2 linked regions of the Lonchura striata genome follow. The protein of the gene in region 1 interacts with the protein of each later gene in a pairwise test. Links are inferred from orthologs where the notes say so. Each region holds a gene or a part of one and is shown in the gene's direction. Other genes may lie near its edges.

Evidence for each region.
Region 2: the proteins of MAP1A (region 1) and RHOB interact in a two-hybrid assay, tested with the Homo sapiens proteins (2 studies listed by BioGRID and IntAct). The link is inferred for Lonchura striata from reciprocal best matches to the Homo sapiens genes MAP1A and RHOB.

Annotation. Positions count from the first base shown.
Region 1 is NC_134613.1:24,564,289-24,575,676, reverse strand, and holds the start of MAP1A (microtubule-associated protein 1A), read left to right. Parts: upstream 1-6,275; 5' UTR 6,276-6,284; coding exon 6,285-6,420; intron 6,421-10,642; exon of another isoform or gene 10,643-10,652; coding exon of another isoform or gene 10,653-10,722; intron 10,723-10,952; coding exon 10,953-11,054; intron 11,055-11,388. UniProt on the Homo sapiens protein: Structural protein involved in the filamentous cross-bridging between microtubules and other skeletal elements.
Region 2 is NC_134605.1:104,395,797-104,406,004, forward strand, and holds RHOB (rho-related GTP-binding protein RhoB), read left to right. Parts: upstream 1-5,561; 5' UTR 5,562-5,856; coding exon 5,857-6,447; 3' UTR 6,448-7,930; downstream 7,931-10,208. UniProt on the Homo sapiens protein: Mediates apoptosis in neoplastically transformed cells after DNA damage. Not essential for development but affects cell adhesion and growth factor signaling in transformed cells. Plays a negative role in tumorigenesis as deletion causes tumor formation.

The DNA of each region.
Region 1 (11,388 bases):
ATATTTGGAGGATTTTTCCAAATTTCTTGTATCTTACAGAATTTACAATAGTGAGCTGACGCTCTAGTTGATCTTCATCCAAAAGCTCCCTGCCACTGCAGACCACTAACTATGGGAAACAGTAAGCAGGACTGCTATTCCTCATTCTCATTTCTTGCACTTTGAATCTGGTTCTCCATGTCTCAGTGTAGCCCTAGGCCCCATCTTCAAAACTGGACAGTATTCCTAGAAAAAGGACCAAATTCCAGACCTGATTTCAAATGAGACTTAGTTACAACAAACGAAGATACCCAGCAAGATAGCTAAGCTTGCTAAAAGACTAAGGATGCTACTTGTCTTTGGAAAACCAGCTTTATGTTTTGTACTGTGGATTTTAACTATTGTGATGCAGACGCATTTAAAACCTACCCGGCCAATTTCCGTATGCACTGTTCTCTGCGCCATTACTTTAGGAACAAATAGTGCCTGGCATTCACCGCTCTCGGGGGCCGTGAGTGCAGAGGCTCGGCGTGCTACCGACGGCTGAGTCACCGCGAGCCGCCAGCACGACACCCAAGTGGCCGGGGGAGCGGAAGCGACCGCCGCCTTCCGCCCTCGCTCCCGGGTCACGGCAGAGCTCCTCTGGAGTCCCGTCCCGCTCTGCCGGGGCTGCCCAGACGGGGCCCGCAGCGCCCCAGCGCTCCCGGGCCCCGACGCACGGCTGCCCGCTCTCCCCGCGGTACTCCGCGGAGAAATCGAACGCGGGTGATGAAGACGGCGGCGGCGGCCAGGCCCGGCCCCGCTCGCCCACTTTAGCTGCACCACGCCGACGAACAAGACTGATGCTACCCTGCTTACATCAGGAGAGCGCCGCCGGCGGGACCAGCCTGCCTCCTGCACCGCCCCGTCCCGGTACCGCCCCCGGCACCGCCCCGGCACCGCCCTGCACGGCACCGCCCCCGTTCCGCCCTGCATGGCACCGCCCCGCCCCCGGCACCGCCCCCGGCACCGCCCCCGGCACCGCCCCGGCACCGCCCCCGGCACCGCCCCGCCCCGGCACCGCCCCGGCACCGCCCCGCCCCCGGTACCGCCCCCGGCACCGCCCCGGCACCGCCCCGGTACCGCCCCCGGCACCGCCCCGGCACCGCCCCGGCACCGCCCCCGGCACCGCCCCCGGCACCGCCCCGGCACCGCCCCCGGCACCGCCCTGCACGGCACCGCCCCCGTTCCGCCCTGCATGGCACGGCCCCGCCCCCGGCCCCGCCCCCGGCACCGCCCCGGCACCGCCCCCGGCACCGCCCCCGGCACCGCCCCCGGCACCGCCCCGGCACCGCCCCCGGCACCGCCCCGCCCCGGTACCGCCCCCGGCACCGCACCGCCCCCGGCACCGCCCCGCCCCCGGCACCGCACCGCCCCCGGCACCGCCCCCGGCACCGCCCCCGGCACCGCCCCCGGCACCGCCCCGCCCCGGTACCGCCCCCGGCACCGCCCCGCCCCGGCACCGCCCCGGCACTGCACCGCCCCCGGCACCGCCCCGCCCCCGGCACCGCCCCCGGCACCGCCCCCGGCACCGCCCCGCCCCCGGCACCGCCCCCGGCACCGCCCCCGGCACCGCCCCCGGCACCGCCCCGCCCCGGCACCGCCCTGCACGGCACCGCCCCCGGCACCGCCCCGGCACCGCCCTGCACGGCACCGCCCCCGGCACCGCCCCGGCACCGCCCCCGGCACCGCCCCCGGCACTGCACCGCCCCCGGCACCGCCCCCGGCACCGCACCGCCCCCGGCACCGCCCCGCCCCGGCACCGCCCTGCACGGCACCGCCCCCGGCACCGCCCCGGCACCGCCCCCGGCACCGCCCCCGGCACCGCCCCGGCACCGCCCCCGGCACCGCCCCCGGCACTGCACCGCCCCCGGCACCGCCCCGGCACCGCCCCCGGCACCGCCCCGCCCCCGGCACCGCCCCGCCCCGGCACCGCCCTGCACGGCACCGCCCCCGGCACCGCACCGCCCCCGGCACCGCCCCGGCCCGGCACCGCCCCCGTTCCGCCCTGCACGGCACCGCCCCGCCCCCGTCACTGCCCCGGCACCGCCCCGGCACCGCCCCGGTACCGCCCCGCCCTGCGCCGGGCACTGCCCCCGGCACCGCCCCTGGCGCGCTCTTGCCCCCTCCGGCAGGACTCTTACCGGTAACGCAGATCATGCGCGTCCTTCATTTGCCGAAGGCTGACTACAACAAAGTGTTGCCTGCATGAACGCCACAACGAGAAGGCTCAGATACTCGGTCATGCCAGGCGGGGCTGTGATTGCCAGAAAAAATTAACTTCTCAAGTGTTCGCTTTATTTACGTGCGTATCACTTTCTCTGAACGCTAGCAACCTATTCAATCGCACAAAATGCACCACGAAATACTGCAACTGAGTTACTTCATTACAAGCCGGGATTGTGCAGTTTGTCTGCACCTTTTTCTGGAGAAATGTTGAAATCAGTGCTTGACTTTACTGAACAGAAGAAGCTGTGAAAGACGTGCACAATTATGGTGGAAAGTGTGGCATTATCATTTCTTTGTACTGTTCAGTAAGGCTGCGGGCAACCTACACAGTTTAGTCTGCAAAAAATTTTCAGTAATGTTCGATTTTTTAGACTTGTACTTTGCCTGACCATTTCAGCTATATTATTTTGACTTATTTTAGTTATGTGGGAAAATGAAACAAAGAGGTATGGATTCTCGCCAGTTTGTATTTAGTATTTGATTGATTAAAAATCACCTTGGCTTCAAAGAAGGACTGCCATAAAAGTACAAATTAGTACCTTTCAAAGTCTGATAAACATGTCTTTTAATTCCAAAGCTCTGAGTCACTTGACACAATGACCATATCTGATAATTTCATTGGCCCTTATAGCCTAGCCTTGATCAGAGCTTTGTTCCAAATTGCACAGGAGATAGTATCTTGCTACACTTTCTCAAAGATAAAAATGGAAGGAATAGGAGTACTACTCTGATTACCCATGGGATTAAAGAGAAGCAAAAATGTGTTTTGGCCAAACTGAAAAGCTTAGCCCTCTGTTTCTCTATCTTACAATACATTCTGGAAGTGTCCGTATAAACAACCATAAGACTCCATCTGTACATAAAAGCATTATCAGCGCTGGGTTCTTCTGCTCCATGTAGGGATGGCTGTGCTTACCACAGGAGAGATCAAGACTTGAACGAAGTCCCTTTAGGTAGACACCTGATTTTTCTCTGTTTCTTAGAAATGTCCCAGCCAAAATGATAGTATATTTCACCACTGTTAAAGGCATTATCCTCACTTGGGTACTGTCAAAGGTCTCTGATTGCCTGAAGTACTTTTATTCACTTGGAAATTTTTAGCTGGGAAGTACAGGAAGTAATCATTCCAGGGTTAAGGACTGAGGAATTGAAATAGTGTAGATTGTTCTTCTCACAATATTGTGAAAATCCTTTTATGCTATTTTGATCCTATTTTCTAAATCTCCTTTTATAAAAGTGATTTACCTGTGATTCGTCCTTCAGTAAAGTAATCCTTTACTCTGCTTTTGCCACTCTCCTTCTGTGTTGTTTGTCAGGACCTCTAATATCTGCATTCAGCACAGTCAGCTTTTGATTTTCATGGGGATGCCAGCTACTGCTGCAGTGCATGAAAGCAGAAGCTTATGCCGTCATTTCTGTATGGGTCTATTATATGGTTTTGGAGTGTGAATTTACACTCAGTAAACTGGAAATACCTAATTTCACTGTCTCATGCAGTGCACACAGACTTAGGACTCAAGCCTTTTTTACTGCAATTCTACCATGACCACAGACATCTCTGATTCACATTAGAGAGCAACAGAAATATCATCATTCTATTAACTGATGGTACAGTAGAAGAATGCAAATGGTCACATCACCAGAATTAGTTTTTAATTGTAAAGTCTTCCCCAGAGCTTCTAGTCTCTGTGTTTGGATATTCTTTTCAAGCTTTCACTCCAGTTTGCATGTCTCCTGTTTCATTTCTCCTTGGCAGAAAGCCAGCTGGAAGAGCATCTCTGCACTGCAGTGAAAAGCTGCGGCTCTGGAAAGCTACCATGTCAAAAACAAGCAGCAAGTACTAAGTCTGAATCACCAGAAAACAGAAGGTATTTCTATCAGCTGGTATGAAAATATCTGAATATTTTCCACCTTCATGTGTTGTTGTCATCTTTTCCTTCCACGACCTACAATCCTACTTTCATGATAGAATTTAATGTGCATTAGCATTAATTTTCAGGTTTACTATTTTATTCACTTATTTGCCTGTTCAGTGCAGTCCTCTAAAATTAAATTATTGCTTCCATGCAGGTTACAACACACAGAAATGAATTAAATCCTTTTGATATACTAATTCTCCCTTTTTACAAGGTTTAGTTCATAAAGTTCACAGCCTGTGGTGTGATCATAGTTTAATGTGAAAAAGACCTATTGCATTATCTCTTAATTTATCTGCGGAGAACTAGACCACCTTTTGATTTAAGATTTTAATTTGAGAAAACTCCAAAAGCTAGTAACATCAGCTGTAGCCTGCAGAGATAATAATTTTATATTTTTGTCCCTTTTTCTGGTTGTTTTTTTTTTTTTCCCCTGACTATCTTTTGTCAGAGTCCTATGACACTATAGATTCATATATGCTTGCCAAAATACCAACTTTCTGAACCTTATGAGGCTTCAAATGTAGTCTTGGTGGGTACAAAAGAATGAAAGAGGGCAGGATGCTGACTTATCTGTCCATCAGGTTTCTAAACTATAGCTCACCTGTGGAAATCCTGTGCACTGCAGGGCAAAACCTGACACTGTTTTAGGAAACGCTGCCTATTATTGCTGACTGGTGTAATTTAATAATAACTGGGTTGCTTTTCTACCCAACTGCATCGGCACAGGCTGGTCCTTCCTTATCTGTCAGAAAAGACACAGATTTTTCTGCCTGAAACTACTTTTTGGTGTCTCTCCCTTGTTCAGCCTGTAGAAGTCTCATACTTTGGGGTTGCTCAGCTTTTGCACATAGCATCATAGGATCGCCAAGGTTGGAAGAGACCTTCAAGGTCACCCAGTCCAACCATCCACCCAGCACTACCACTGTAACCCCTAAACCACATCATCCAGATACAGATCCAGACACCTCTTGAACACTGCTGGGGAGGTTACTCCACCTCTTCCCTGGGCAACAATTCCCAGGCTCCAATGCCTGGCAGTGGAAATAATTTTTCTAATATCTAATCCAGAGATCTCTTATGTCTCAGCTTAAGGCCATCTGCATTGAACTTCTTTTCAGCAGTAGCTGGCCAGAACTGTGAGCAAATTGTGCCCAAAGATATGGCCTCTCTCATCACCGCAGACAGTAAGAACTGCTGCATACACCATAGCCAGCCAGTACAGCCATGGACAGCTCGCATCAGCTTTGCACCGGCAGCTCAGATTGTTCTTGTAGCCCATGGGTCTGGAATCCAGGAAATCCCATTATTTATCCCAGGAGAGCATTACACTTACTTTTAATTGAACAGAAGGAAGAACCACCGGAAAGGGACCTGCTCATGGGCAAGCAATAGTGGAGAAATAAAGAAGGTGAATGACAATACCAAGCCTTGGAGTCTTTATGTCTTCTATGGCTTTATTGTGGGTATTGGAACAACTCAACACCAAGCATTTAAAAATCTCCGTGGATTTCTGTATTTAAGAAATTAAATTCTAAACTAAAGTGTAAACCAACACGCCTTCCCCCCTGATTTATTCTTTCAAAGGTCTGAGGCCCGCTTATGGTTTTGAGCATCCGAGCTGGTCGCTGTACCGCTCTGTCGATCTTGACGGAAGGAACTAAGACGTCGCACCCTAGAGCCGGCGGGGGCTCACCGGCAGTCTCCGTGCCGGCACGACCTGCCTTGGGCGGGCAGCCCGGGAGCGGCAGCGGCCGGACGGAGGTAGCGGCCGGTCAGCACGGAGGTAGCGGCCGGTCAGCACGGAGGTAGCGGCCGGTCCGCGCGGGGGTAACGGCCGGTCAGCACGGAGGCAGTGGCCGGCTCCCGCCGCCGGGGGGCGCGGCTGCGGCGGGGCCGCGCGGGGCGGAGCGGGGGAGCCCGGGGGGCTGGGCTCTGGGCGGGGCCGCGGGCGGGGCGGGAGGGGGCGCGAGCCGGGCGGGGCCCCGGATGGGCAGGCCAGGCCCCCTCCAGCAGCAGCGCAGGACCACGTGCCGGCTCGGCCAATCAGAGGGGGAGTCAGGGCGCTTTAAGAGCCGCGCGCCAGTGATCGCGCGCTGCAGCAGCGGCCGCGGCGTTGCTATGGAGACGGCGGCGGGGCCAGTCGCCATGGACGCGGCGGCGCCGCCGGGCGGTGGGCGGCACGCGCTGCTGGCCGTGATCGGGGAGATCGGGACGGAGCCGGAGCGGGGCGCGCTGCGCGGCGCCCTGGAGCGCGGTGAGCAGCGGGGCCGCGGCGGAGGGGCCGGGCTGAGGCGGACGCGATCCCTGCCCCTGAGAGCCGCAGGAACTGCGCGCCTGCCGTGTCGTTCCTGCCGCCGCCTGGGATGAGGCGGAGCTGCCGGTGCCCTCCCCGCCCTGCGGCACCGCCGTCTCGCCGCAGGGCTTTATCTGCCATCTCCCGGAGAGCGGCAGAGGCCTGCGGGCGGTGGCTGCGGGATGGGTCGGGGCGCTGTCGGGACCGCGGGGCGGAGGCCGAGGCTGAAGCCGTGGGGCCCAGTAGGGGCCAGGGCGGAGGGTGAGGCTGGGCGGGGCTCGGATCCCCGGCGCAGTGCGGGGCTGAGCTCTGCGGCATCTCCCCTGATCATTGCTTTATATCCATTAGTGAGATATAGCTAAAGCAGTTTTCGAACATCTTAAAGCTTAAAGACATTTCGTGGTTCTCCTTCCCCTCAGTCTTTATTTTAGTAGAGGTTTGGTAGGGTGCATCTTATTTCAAACTTACTCCAAAATTCTGTCATGATGGAGGAATTGTCTTGCTAGACTGTTCACTGTGGTCCCAGGGACGGCTGTGCACAAGGGTCTGCTGTAGTTTGGCCTCTCCCTGTCTATAGCTCCATGGACCAGAGTGAGGGAGGAGTAGTCACACAGTGACCTGCTTCAGGAATGACACAATGCAGGATAGATCTGCCATGGCATTTTTCTTCTCTGTTATCCATATTTTAATAACATCCAGAGGTCTTGGCAATGAATTAGGCTTTGTATATTAGACACAGTGTTGTTTAGAAGTAAGGCGGAAGGAGGTGCTGAGATGATAGCTCTTCCCTTGTGGCAGTTTCTGATAGTTTCTGACCAAAAGACAAAGGAGAGCTGATCAGCTACATCAGGACCTTAAGGGAACCCTTGTTCTAATAAGCAGTTTAGCACACCTTAGTGAAATAAAGTAACAACCTTCTGACTCACCTTCACTCTTCCCCTCAGCTCCCCACTTCCAAGGCATGTTGGGTTGAAATAACAGTCATAAGTATTGGCCAAACTGTGTTATTCAGAGATAATTCTGCGACTGTTTTCTTCCCAAGCATCAGCATTACCGAAGATTTAAGAAAAGGGTGGGTGTAAAAATGTCAAATATTGTCCAACTTCTTCACTATAGCTTTTCCAGCTACCTCTGTTAGCAGGCCACTTTGTTAATGAGGTGTGTTTCATTCCCTTTTTCAAGGGATGGCTTTAGTTCAGGAGTAGTAGATCTGATTGTGACCATCTGGCCTCTGAAAGGCTTTCTTTGAAGGGGCCACTCTTGCTTCCTGCACAGCAGGATGATCATCTTCACTTGGCACTTCACTGAACTGGTGTGCCAACCTACATCCTTATCCATTGTCTGAATCTTTGAAATGGTGATAGATCACACTGTGAACTAAAGGATTTTGCTCTGATTCTGTGGTCACATGCCAGTAACCTGAGAATTCCCACTGCAGAGGAAAAACATGCTGTTTTCAACATAAATTGTAACTGCCACAGTAGAAATAAGTTCTATAGTTGGCCTTCTGTGACTAGAAACCTGCTGAAATTCTGCCAAATGTAAACACTTTTATTTGCATGAGAGGGAGCCATTTCAGCAGTATTAGTAAGTTACTGGCAGTAGAAGTGAATCACATAGAGCTGGAAATCTGGATTTCAGTTTTATCTCTTACATGGAATAGGACCTCCAGCAAGTTAGTTTTCTACACTATGAAATGGGAGGATGACCTCTTCTTAAAATGGACCAATATTTGCAAATTGAAAGGTATGAAAAATGAGAATAGTTAAAATGACAGCAATCTTGAGATCTGTCAATAGTCTGCATATTATGGTGTTGTAGATAGCTGCACTCTTGATTCAGGGAGTTCAAGAAATTTAGAAATGATTCTTACTTAAATGTTAGCTGCTGCAGAGGGCTCATGTGAAGGTAGAACAAGTTGCTGAGCAGTGACTATACAAAGGATGAAAAAGCTAGGGTTTGTTTTGTGTCCTGTTGGCTGTGGCACCCTGTCTGCATAAAAAAAAAAAATCAAAACAAAAACCCAAAAGAACCCCCCCCCAAAAAAAGAACCAAACAAAAAACAAAGCAGATAACAAAAGCAACAACAACGACACAAAAAAAACCAACCAAAGACTTTTTTTTTTTTTCAGTCGATAAATCTCCTGCCCTGACTGCTATAAATGTATATTTTTCCAGACTTCTTTCTATACCATAGTCCAGGAGAATGCAATAGTGGCTACAATGCATTATAGGAACCTGCTCATTTCCAGGTGTAGAGCTTTGTAGGCTATGACATTGTGAATCTATGGGATATCTGAACAACACTTTTTCGAACATGCTGTCTGAAAAATGCTAGTTTTATTTTTCTGTTACTGTGTTACTTTTGTCTAATTTTGAAACAATATCCGTAAGACTTGGTCTAGTGTTGGGGAGAAAGGCTAAATCTTTTAAGCTAATTACCTCAGCAGGAAATAAAGCATTCACAAGGGCATAAAGAATGAGATGGAAAACTGATGAGTCACATGACCCCTTATTTAGGCTTTGCATTTGCAAAGAGCTTGAATATTTACCGTTATTGTGGTATAGTCTGCACTCTCATAGTAGAGGATTCTAATCAGCAAGGCTTATGTGCCATGAAGTGATAAATTGGAATAGTGGCAAATTTGTAGAGATTGAGTAAATTCAGACTACCTGTAGGGAAGAAAATTATGGATAAATTGTTGCAAGTGAGATAATTCCACTCTTCCCTTTCTTGCTCTGAAAGAGCACCTATTCTTTCTGCAACCTAGAGGATGTAGCAGTACCTCAAATAGCACTTATTGCTGCAGTAGGACACGATGACCATGACACAGCAGCTAGTCAGCAAGATTTGCCCTGCAGAGTGCCACCTTGTTCCTGTCCAGGTCAGAATGCTCATAACTACTGCATTGATATTCTCTTACACTGGACATTTTGTTAAACAATTATGCTCTCTTGGAGTGTAGGATAGGAAAACACTTTGTCCATCTCCTTGTTCCATGTGTTTTGTTTGTTTGTATCCCATGTCCAAATTGAAAGGTGCTGTGCTGGTAAGTTGTTTGGTATTCTGTGTTTTTTTCTTTTCTTTTTTTCCCCCTGAAGATCAGATGATTTAGTGAGGAGTTTTTGTGCAGTCTGAAGTGAATACTGTTAATAAATAAGCATAAATAAGCTTTGCTACTCCACTGTGTCAGCTGTCACCAGAAAAAGAAACCAAGCACAAAGGTTTTTTTAGCTGCTGTAGATTCTACAGCCTTGAGACTACTGACCTGTGTGATTCAATGATTACTGTGTCTTGGTATGTGTAGAAAGCTGGAGCCCTTGAGGATCCTCTCCCACCAGTGGCCAGCAAAAGCTTTGCACAACATGGAGAGCTATAACTGCAGTAAATGGGAATGATATCTCCATGGAAAATTAACATCATTACCTTGAAAGAAAGTAGATAATAGAGGCAATAAAACTTTTATGTACTTTATGCAACTTTTATGTATTTTATGCAAGAGAAATGGTGAAAGAACTCTCAGGGAGGACTCCATCAATAAATATTGGCGCTGAAATTCTTGTTTCGGTTAACCTTAGAAGTCTGTGGCATTGGCCTTCAACATCTGAACATCAGCAGGCATCAGCACCAGATGCTGGAGTAAGGATTTGTAGTGATATCCTGCTTTTGTTCATTGTGGCACAGTGTAGAGTCACACCATCTAGGAAAGGCTGCTCCCTACTGGGATGTGAAAATTGGTGGTCTGTAGTGTTTGGTGTCCTCCAGAATGTACATCTGTTCACATTGAGGTCTGAAGGTGACTTTCCCTGTATGGCTTGGTGCCACTTGCTCTGGGAGCAGAAGCACCTTCCTGCTGTGATATGAAGGTAACTAGCTGACAAAGATTATAAAGATTAAAGAACAGACTCAAATGGTCTCAGTAGGATCAGTGTCTTTGAAGGAGTGATTAGGCAGAGTGAGTTGGAGGGGTGGAGGGCTTTTGTGGCTTGGAGCATGCACAGGCTGTAAGGGCAAAGAAACTGATGTCTCTGAGCTTTCCAGTAGCATAACCACACAGTAGCCCATCTCTACTGGTGACGAGTGCTGGAGAGTGCAGATGTAAACCTAACATAATGTACTTGTTTGTTAAGGGGTAGTGTAATTCATTTGGCCTCATCTCTTGTTGATTTCCCTTGCATGAAGTCCAAGTTGAATGGAGACTTGCTTACAGCATGTCCTTCATGGAACACTTCATTTCTTCAGGAAGAAATGTCTTATACAAGGTAAGTATCTTATGGTCCTCTGCTTCTGAAGGCCTTCTCCATCCTAAGTATGCTCATCTAGTGTAGCATCCCTGGTCTTTGGGTGTCCTACTCACCTTTCTTTCTCTTCTTCTGTTTCTGGAGTAGATGTAATGACATAATGACAAGGACAGCTTACTTTTTTCCTTTTTTGTTTGTTTGTTTGTTTGTTTTTGTTTTGTTTTGCTTTGTTTTATTTTGTTTTTTTACAGGAATTCGTTCCTGGGACATTAATACTCTATACTGTGATCTGAATCATCAACTGCGGCTTTTTGTAAATCGACATCTGGCTCAATTTTCTTCTGAAGTCAAAGGTCAGCTTTTTGGTTTATATGCATTAACTTTTAACTTTTGTTTTGGGTCTGGAAAGAAAAACCAAACCAACAACAAAGAATAAAACTGATTGTGATTCAATTGCTGACTTGTTCGCCCAGGATTCTGCAGAGCTGAATGAGAAAGAAAACAGTCATAATGGTATGCTGGATGCAATGAATTTACCTTAAAAGTACAGATCTTATTACTGAGAATAGAGTTGAATAAAAATATGTGCTGCTTTAAAGCCTATTAGACTAGTTAGAAGTTGGAATCTATCTACCTTCTGTATCTTGCTCAGATGGCATAGTTTACTTTGTAAGCTATTTATTATAG
Region 2 (10,208 bases), on another chromosome or scaffold:
CTCAGGTTCCTCAGGTCACAGGTTCCCCTACAGAGAGAACTGACTACCACGCTTCAAAGACCACCATGAAGACCACAGTAATTAAAACAATAAGTTAATGTATCTTAATATAGCAAATAAATCTACATGGAGGACCATATGACATCATTGCTTTTTTAAAGAAATCTACTTTACTGCCAATAAAGTGGAAATTACACAAATTGTTAACAAATCACAACATGCTTACTTCAGAAGTTTCCTTGTTCCTATTGCAAAAGACTCATCCTGTGTGAGCACTTCAGAACCGAGTGTGCCAAACTCCCTGGTGGAATGTGGGCTGACAGTGCTGGAGTGTGAAACAGGAGTAGACCTGCAAGAGAGACCCTCCAAACATCACTTTTCAGATCTGCTGAGGCATCACAGATGGATGAATTGCAGAACCAAAGAATGGATGAGGTGAGGAGGGGTTATCTACTCCACCCTGCCCTGCTCAGAGCAGGATAAACTACAGCAGGTTGCTCAGGATTGTGTCCAGTTGGGTTTTGAATATGCCCAAGGATGGAGACTCCACAGTTTCTGTGGGCAGCCTTTTCCAGTGTCGGACCATCCTGAAAATATGGAATGAAGTACATTCACTGGAGATCCTAAAAATAAAGAACTTCCCACTGTTAAGGATACTTTCTTTAACTCCAGATAGAGAGACTGAATTCCCTGCTATCTTGGCATTGGACAAGCAACCTTTACTCTGTCTCAGTTTTCCTGGTAGACAAAGACAGCAAGGTGTCTGCAGTCAGTAAAAACTGAGAACAAAGGGAACCAGGTGACAAGTTTGGTCTCTCTGCAGAAAGAACTGTTTCCAAAGACATCACTGGTGATGTAGACATGTAACATCATGAGTATCCATAAGAGTTATATGGTCAGCTCATTTATTTCCTTAAGCTACAGAAGGGTTCTTCAACTGAGATTAGGTGTTTTAGGTCTAAAAATTCTTGCCTAAGGATGAGGCACTTGTTTTTATTTAATTTGAACTCACCTGGAGACAAAGGGCCACTTTAATATACTGTAGTGGTATAATTTTACTCTGGCAACCCGTATTTCCTGAGTCCTATTAAAGTATGAATTTTATAGTCTTGCTGTAAGAACTGGAAAAAATTAAACAGCTTCTGACCTCTCTTATTCCCTGGAAGAGCAATGCCAGTGGATCCCATACAGCTATTTAGTCATGAAAGCATATTTTTTGGGCTGGTATGCTTTCATGTGCACTGCACTTAGCATAAACATCTGCATGAAAACACACAGGTCATTTCACCTTCTCCTGCTGTGCCTTGGCATTCCAGTTTCTAGGCAGATCAGTCTGGATTGTCTGCTGAGGGTGCTGATCCCGGCTCTGAGAGTTGAACTCTGCATTCCTCCAGGAACGTTGGAAAGCAATGGACCTGTGGTGACAAACAGCAAGGTCTGGTTCCTAAATGTGCCAGAAGCTTTTCTCTTAGGGGGACAGGTACCATTTCTGTCCATTCTCTAACATCTACCCAGAGCTTTTCCACACTAGCCTGTGAACTGCTCATATTTCACTGCCTCTTGCCTTCCTCGCTTTGCTGAGGAGCTTTGCCTGCATGAGGACTGCAGGATGCCTGATGCTGGCATTACAAGCCAGCACGCAGGACTTTGTGTGCCATGAGAGGACATGTGGCTCCCTCAGCATGTTATGCCACAGCAGGCTATGTACTTACTTGCCTACTTATTGACAGAAAGGAGAAAGATTGCCTTCCCCACTGAGCTTTCATACTTTTGGTACAGATTTACACCTGAACACAATGTATCTGAGTTACAGACATGCCCTTTAGAAAATCTGCTTAGAAGAAGAGCAGGGGGGGAATATAAGCTGGAAAAAAAATCTCCAGTAATTGACAGGAATTGTCTTCTCAACTAAAAAATGCCACTTGGATTAAATAAATGAATAAATAAATAAATAAATAAACAACAAAATCTGAGTTTTAATCTCAAAACCATCCCCACAAGCAATAAAAACAAACAAGTGGTGTCTTCCTTCTTTGTCCTACTTCATGCTTTCTTCCTCAATCATACAGAAGTATATGGTGCAGCAGAACTAACAGTATGCTTAGAGTGCACATTTTGCACTAGAACAGCTAACTAGAGGTGAAGATTCAGCTTGCATAAAGAACTACAGTTTATATCATGCAGATTCATGCAGAAAATATAAAAGCTACAATGTCAGTTAAAATTCAGCCCTAAAATACATAAGCTGGATATATTCACTAATTACAGATGTGTAATAACCACAATGACTTAGATGTTCCCCCTAGAGGCTGTTGCTGGAGTGTACCCCAGGACAGTGAAAGGAGTGTGATCTCAGCTTGAGTTGGTCACAGGGCTGAGTCTCATGATATAAAGTTTCTGGAAAAAAATACTTATAAAGCATTTGAAAGCCTTGGTCAAGGTGTTACATAGCCTTTGCTGAAGTCTGTCTTGCAAGGTGAGAGATGAAACATCAGGCACTTTGCTTTCAGTGCAACTGTGTGGAAAACTAGAGATGTGAGACTTGAAAATTAAGCATGAGCCATTAAGTCATGGCTCAGACCATAAGTGGGTGCTGCAAATATATATATACTGCTCAGTTACAAGAAAAAATCATGCTATGGACTTAACTTGAGCTAGCTGGACATTTCTGGAGTAATTCCTTTGCACAGTTTGGAAGCTGGAATCAGCAGACAATTTGGATGAGGTCACCCTGCTTGGCAACCTTTAAAGAGGTAAGCAGCACTCTGGGCAACAATAGAGCCGTGTGCTTTGAAATGAATAAACTGCTTATTTATCTGCCTTCGGTGGCACAGCACAGATGAGTCAATACACGTAACTGCTCATTTGCATTATTCCTTCTTCTATTTAATAAAACATTTTGCTCCTGAAAGGACAAAACCAAACACCCAGGCATGATTCAAAATACAAGCGGAATCAGAAGTATATTTAAGCAGCACCTCTCAGGCCAGGTGAAGCAGTCGCAGCTTCTCCTGCTGCCGCCGCAGAGGTGGGTTTTTCCAGCGGTGGGTTTTTCCAGCGGAGGGTTTTCCAGCGGAGGGTTTTCCAGCTGCGGAGCCGCACGGAGCAGGCGCAGGGCGGTGCAGGGCGCGGAGCTGCCGCGAGGGGGCGCTGGGGCCCCGCCGTCGGCGCGGCGCGGCCGGGCGGCGCGGGGGGAGCGGCGAGCCGGGGATTCCATGGAACGGGAATCCGCCGCAAATCCCCCCGCCCGCCTCTCCCAGCGGCCTTCCCCGCCTGGGACTGCGGAGAAAATAGCTGCAAGCTGCCCGAGCACCATCCCCCCGTGCCAGGAGGACATGGCAGCAGGGGGGTGATTTCCACGCAGTTTGAGAAGAATTGAAGCCTGTGAGCAGTGACAACGGATTTAAAGGGATGATGCAAGCCAGAAATTTGGCTCGCTGGAAGGCCATAGGTACTGAAGAACATCCATGTCTATGTCTACACTTTATTGCTGAATTCTTTAAAAAAATCAGTTTGAATTTATTATGTTCATATAAAATATGCTGTACAAACCTATGTATGATCAAGGCACAAACTCATCCGTCAGCATCCAGGAACATGCTCTTTTGACTGGGAGAAATGGGTATTACAAAAATCTCACAGAAAATGAATTTTATTTCAATGTCTAGGATTAAACGAACCTTTTGCCCTATTGACACACACCCCTCTGTAACAGTCTGCTGCAAGTAACTTGTCAGGCAATTTGATGTACTCAGTGATGCATTCGCTCTCCAAGTGGGTATTTTAAAATGCAACTTTTAATAACAACAGTATTGTACAAACCACTCATTTTTGTTCCATACCCTAATGCCAGTACTGGCTGGGAAAACGGGACACTTCGAATCAAACCCCGAGAGGCAGTAGCCACAAGACATCTGCGCCTGTGCTGGCAGGGAAGAAGTTTGGGACACCACCCGGCTGAGCAGCGGCAGCTGCAACAGGGACCGAGCGCGTCGCTGCCGGCGGTGTCCGTGTGTGCCCCGGCACTGCGGCCACCCCAGCGCGCCCGGCCCGGCCCGGCTCGGCCCAGCTCAGCCCAGCCCGGCCCGGCCCGGCTCAGCCCAGCCCGGCCCGGCTCGGCTCAGCCCAGCCCGGCCCAGCTCAGCCCAGCCAGCTCCTCCTGTGAAGGGACTCGCATCCTGCCCTCCCAGCAACCCCTCACTACAGGGCTTTGCGCCCCTTTATTCTCCACGTTCATTTTTTCCTTGCTGTGACTTCCGATATCCCTGTAAACTGAGACCCAAAGGCCAATTCAGTTCAAGCCTGCTGCTTCTCCCGCTTTGCAATTCCTCTGCTCCCTTTTGGCCAAAAGCTGGCGAGAGTCGAATATGATTAATTTCTTAAGGAAGGGTGTCGAGCGCTTTTCCAGGAGCGCCCAGCGGACGCTTTTATTTTATTCACCCGCCTGCAATGCTCTCTGTTCACTTTGCCCCTGGGACGCAGCGGCGCTCCCCGCTCCTCTCGGTGCCCGCCCAGCCTCTTCACTCAGGCCGTCCCGAGCGGCGAGCCTGCGGCGGGGACCGGCCCTGCCTGCCCCGGCGACAACCGGGATCCCCGGGCCGGGAGGGCTCACCCGGGACAGGCTCACCCGGGACAGGCTCGCACCGGGACAGGCTCACCCGGGACAGGCTCACCCCGGGACAAGCTCGCACCGGGACAGGCTCACCCCGGGACAGGCTCACACCGGGACAGGCTCACCCCGGGACAGGCTCACCCCGGGACAAGCTCGCACCGGGACAGGCTCACCCCGGGACAGGCTCACCCCGGGACAGGCTCGCTCCGGGACAGGCTCACCCGGGACAGGCTCGCACCGAGACAGGCTCACACAGGGACAGGCTCGCACCGGGACAGGTTCGCACCGGGGACAAGCTCACACCGGGCTCGCACCGGGACAGGCTCACACCGAGACAGGCTCGCACCGGGACAGGCTCACCCGGGACAGGCTCACACCGGGACAGGCTCACACCGGGACAGGCTCACACCGGGACAGGCTCGCACCGGGACGGGCTCACACCGGGACAGGCTCGCCCCGGGACAGGCTCACCCCGGGACAGGCTCGCACCGGGACAGGTTGACACCGGGACAGGCTCAAACCGGGACAGGCTCGCCCCGGGACAGGCTCACCCCGGGACAGGCTCGCACCGGGACAGGCTCACCCGGGACAGGCGCACCCGGGACAGGCTCACCCGGGACAGGCTCGCACCGGGACAGGCTCACACCGGGACAGGCTCGCACCGGGCTCGCACCGGGACAGGCTCGCACCGGGGACACGGAGCCCCGGCCGCCCCAGCGCGGCTCCGCCCGCCGCCACCCCGGGCGCGCTGCCCCGGCCCGGCCCGGCCGCTCCCGGCCCGGCCGCTCCCCCCCGCCTCGGCCCCGCCCCCCGCCCGCGGCCGCCCGCCAATCGCAGCGCTCTCCGCCGGGGATGACCTCACTCCTTGCCTTCCCATTGGCCAGCTATATTAAGAAAGCCGCGAGCGCCTTTAAATAGCGGCGCCGGGCCGCAGCTTGCGGCAGTGGCTGCGCGGAGCGGGTCCCGTTCGTGTCTGTGCAGTGAGGCGAGAACCGGCGGCACCGCTCCCACCGCAGAGCTCCGGGGCCGGCGGCGCTGCCCTGCGGCCGTAGCGCTCCCGCGAGGCAGGATACGGCGGCGCGGTGCCGGTGAGCGGAGAGAGCAGGGCGCGCCCGCCTGCCTGCGCGGGCCGGCTCGCCACGGTGCCCTGTGAGAAGCGAGAGGGAGCGGGAGGCGGCGGCCGCGGGGAGGAGGGCGCTGCCATCGTCCTGCTGCACGGCAAGGCCAGCTTGGCGAGCCTGGCCATGGCTGCCATCCGCAAGAAGCTGGTGGTGGTGGGGGACGGTGCCTGTGGCAAGACTTGCCTCCTCATCGTCTTCAGCAAGGACGAGTTCCCTGAGGTCTACGTGCCCACCGTCTTTGAAAACTACGTGGCGGACATAGAGGTGGACGGCAAGCAGGTGGAGCTGGCCCTGTGGGACACGGCTGGCCAGGAGGACTATGACCGCCTGCGTCCCCTTTCCTACCCGGACACCGATGTCATCCTCATGTGCTTCTCCGTGGACAGCCCGGACTCGCTGGAGAACATCCCGGAGAAGTGGGTGCCCGAAGTGAAGCACTTCTGCCCCAACGTCCCCATCATCCTGGTGGCCAACAAGAAGGACCTGCGGAACGACGAGCACGTGCGGAACGAGCTGGCCCGCATGAAGCAGGAGCCGGTGCGCACCGAGGACGGCCGGGCCATGGCCATCCGCATCCAGGCCTACGACTACCTGGAGTGCTCGGCCAAGACCAAGGAGGGTGTCCGGGAGGTCTTCGAGACTGCCACCCGGGCAGCCCTGCAGAAGCGCTACGGCACCCAGAACGGCTGCATCAACTGCTGCAAAGTCCTATAGGGCGTGTCTGGAGCGCGGCGCTGGGCACAGCGCCCGGGTCACCTGTTGGCAGGTGCAGAGGAGCTGGGTTATACGCACACGGCATCTGCCTGTCCCCTCCGCTAGGGACTGGCTGTGCATGGGGTGGGGGCTAAGGGAGGGAGCACGCTCCTTGAGCCTTGGCCAAAAAGGGTTGTGCTTGCTCAGCCGCGGGGACGGAGGGAGGGGGGGATTGCATGCCCTGAATCTTGGGAATAAAGTGGGGAGAAGCCTTCTCCTACCGCTGGCCCCTGCGAGTTAGTCGTGGACTCAACGACAAAAAGCTGCTGAGACTGGACTGAGCAAACCTTGCACCCGGTTCTGCCCCTTTGCCAACACCTGCTGCTTCCTGCTCCCGGGCAGCCTCCTCTCTTTTGCAAGAGGAGGGCGGTGGAGCTGAGATGCTCGAAGGGACTTCTGCCTCCTGCCTGCATGTGCCTCCACCCAGGCGAGCTGGGGAAAGGGGCTGCCTCTCCCAGGCTGCCTGCAGCATCCTTGCTTCTCCCTCACATGTTTCAGCCTGAGCCTGACCTGCTGTGGAAGTTAGCGCCCTGAAGACCGAGACTGGGAGGGGAGGGGAGGGTCATCCCAAGCAAAGCCTGTATATATGTTACCTTTTTTGTCTTGTGCAAACTGGGGTAGTACAGGGGGTGCTTATTTAAAGTGAGGTGGGGAGGGGGTGCCCAGGTGGGACTTGTGTTGTGCAAAGGAACTTGCCCTGAGTGACTGATGCCTGCTGATAACAGGAGCCATGAACTGACTCCAGCTGCAGAAGCCACCAGGCCAGAAAGTAAAGCTGAACTGTCCTGCTTGCTGGATATCCACCTCCTGACAGATGAGGCAGGATGAGCAAGGGGATGATATTGCCATATTATGATTTTGGTGCCTGCTCCTTACTTTTGATGTTGTCTCCTGCAAGTGTGTTGATTTGGGTTTATTTAAAAGTTTATTTTCAAAAGATGTTACTTTGCACAACTCGGTGGAGTTTTTAATGTTTAAATTAAACACTCAATGCGCTCATCTGCATACAACACTGTAGCATTGGAAACATTCTTACTCGGTAACCTCATCTGGGTCTTGTTTAAAACTGATTTCAACACAAGACAAAATAAAACCACTGTATTATTTTTGCCTTGGAAAAAAAAAAAAAAGGGTGAAAGCACTGTTACTTATGCAGTGAGTACATCAGACTTTAGTACTAAAGGGCAGTTTAAAGAATCAAGGTTTATTTAAAACTTATTTTCACAAGGTGGCCAGCCTGGGTGAAAATAATTTTCTGTTTCTCTGGTTCAGAGAACAAATGTATCCATTTATGTTTGTTTACTTTATTCCCTCTTCCCTCAACAGTGGTACTGAGACTGTTTTTAATAAACTGACATGGCAAAAACTGAGATGTATATGATGTTTACATAAAACTATAGTGTATGCAGTTTTTTATGTAAAGTATTAAAAGATTCTATGCTGACACTTGTGAGACCAGTGTTGTGATTCATGGAGACTGTCCTCTGGATATTATTGAACTAGACCAGAGTTTGCCCCTTGCCTACACATGCTTTTATTTGGCTTTTTTCCACTGGGTGAAACACCTATCTGGCAGCTTTTAGAGGATGGTGGTTTTAGTTCCCTTTGGGGGAGCTGCTTCCTTAGTTTTTTTTCAGTGCATGGTATATGGAAATGTATTGAAAAGTCAAGGTGGTGACTGATCCATCCTTGTTGCTGTTGACCACGGGCAGCCTCTGTGGCTCCTGCCTGGGCTCCGGTGAGCTGGTGTTGCAGCAGAACGGGCACAAAACTGAAAAGCAGCACCAGCAGTAAGGATTATTTGTCAAGGAAGTATTTAGATAAAAGCAGTTTTTTTAGCGGTCTCCCCTTTGCTTGGAGCGCATGGCCCTGCTTCCTGCAGCAGCGCATGGGAGCAAACACTGCTCTCTGTTGAACCAGCATCTCCAAAGCTGCCGGGATGGATTTCCCGATTGTGGCCTCATTAATTCCCATGGCAACCTAAGAAGCGGGGGGCCTCTCCGCCTCAGGGATTCCCTAGCAGGGCATTGTGCCTGTCCCCTCTTCTTTCCTGGGCAGGTGCACAAGGCCCTGTGCTGCTGCTGTGGCTTTGGCTCCTGCCAGGAAGACGTGGCCTTGTCCAAAATGTGATTGTTGCTAAACAATAAGACCTATACCCAAAGTGCTGTTGTCTCCTTTATTTTTTTTCCCCTGGAAAAGCTTTCTCAGATAGCTTCACAAGGACAGGCTTCTATTTTCATAAATCTTCTCCACTACTTTTGCAGAGATGTGAGAAGAGAGTTGAGCTTTTTCAGGTTTTGACCTATGAGTAACTGCTAGGGTACATATAGTTCAAAAATGTTAACAGCTGCTATCAAATGCAAAGGCAAGCAAAGCACATGGAGTGGCTTTTGCTCATTTGCTCACAGAGGGCTGAAAGTGATGGGGCTTTTCAGGCAGACTGACATAGAAATAACAGGTTCCTTGTTCAACACCTGGAAAGTCAATAAACCATAATATGAAAATACTACAGTACATGATCAGTCCATGCTGTGAGTTTATTACACTGTTTCCTATGATTCTTAATGAAAGACAGGCGCATTTTCATGTAGCCAGTTTGTCAGGATTTCTTGAAAGGTACCTAAGTCCTAGGTTTTGGGTATCCTCATTCTCCTGATATTCAAATTTCAATTCTCTAGATACTCGGTGTATGAGTTTCTTATCTTCAGTTTGAGAATGTTAAAATCAAACATCCTTTGAAAGAAATCTCAGTGTTGGATGCTTAAAGGGCATGGCCAAAGGGGCCCTCGTTCTTGCAGGGGGACTCAAACCCCCAGCTCTGTGCAGAGTAACACTCTTGCACATGATGCCAGCCATTGATGTTAAACCTGTATTAGAAACCTTCTCATTAAAATGATTGCAATAGCTGAAAGCCTTATCAATTCAGTTGGACTGCAGCAATAACTAATCTTCTCAAAACCTCAAAGGAGAAAGCATTCATATTTGTATTTTAAACACTAGGAAATGGGCTAGCATTGCATCCCTGTATAATTAACTATACCAATATTTTCCACTGAGGTGCTTACAAGGTAATTACATTCATTATTTCCAGTTGGATCTTTGCCCAAGTCAGGGATACAGCCTCTGGCCCAAGGGGGAAAAAGCTGCAAGAAAGCAAATTTTGGTTTTAACCGAGCATGACCTTTCTCTGCTACGTGTGAGGCTGAGTAAGCTGTCAGGGTGAGATCACTGTGGGAGTCCACCCATTGGGGTCAGATGGTGGGGTCAGGGCTCTAACGTAACTCCTTTACTTTGTGTCACATTGCTGGGCTTGCTTTGGTGGAGGGGAAACATAAGGTGTGGCACATCCCACCCTTCATGACTCAGACACCCACGGCCAGGCTGTTGCCCTGCAGCATGAGAGTGTCACACTGACCAGCTCCATCTGACACCCTACAGTGTGACAGTGTCACACTGACCACCTCCATCTGACACCCTACAGTGTTAGAGTCACACTGACCAGCTCCATCTGACACCCTACAGTGTGACAGTGTCACACTGACCACCTCCATCTGACACCCCACAGTGTTAGAGTCACACTGACCAGCTCCATCTGACACCCTACAGTGTGACAGTGTCACACTGACCACCTCCATCTGACACCCCACAGTGTTAGTGTCACACTGACCAGCTCCATCTGACACTCTACAGTGTGACAGTGTCACACTGACCAGCTCCACCCC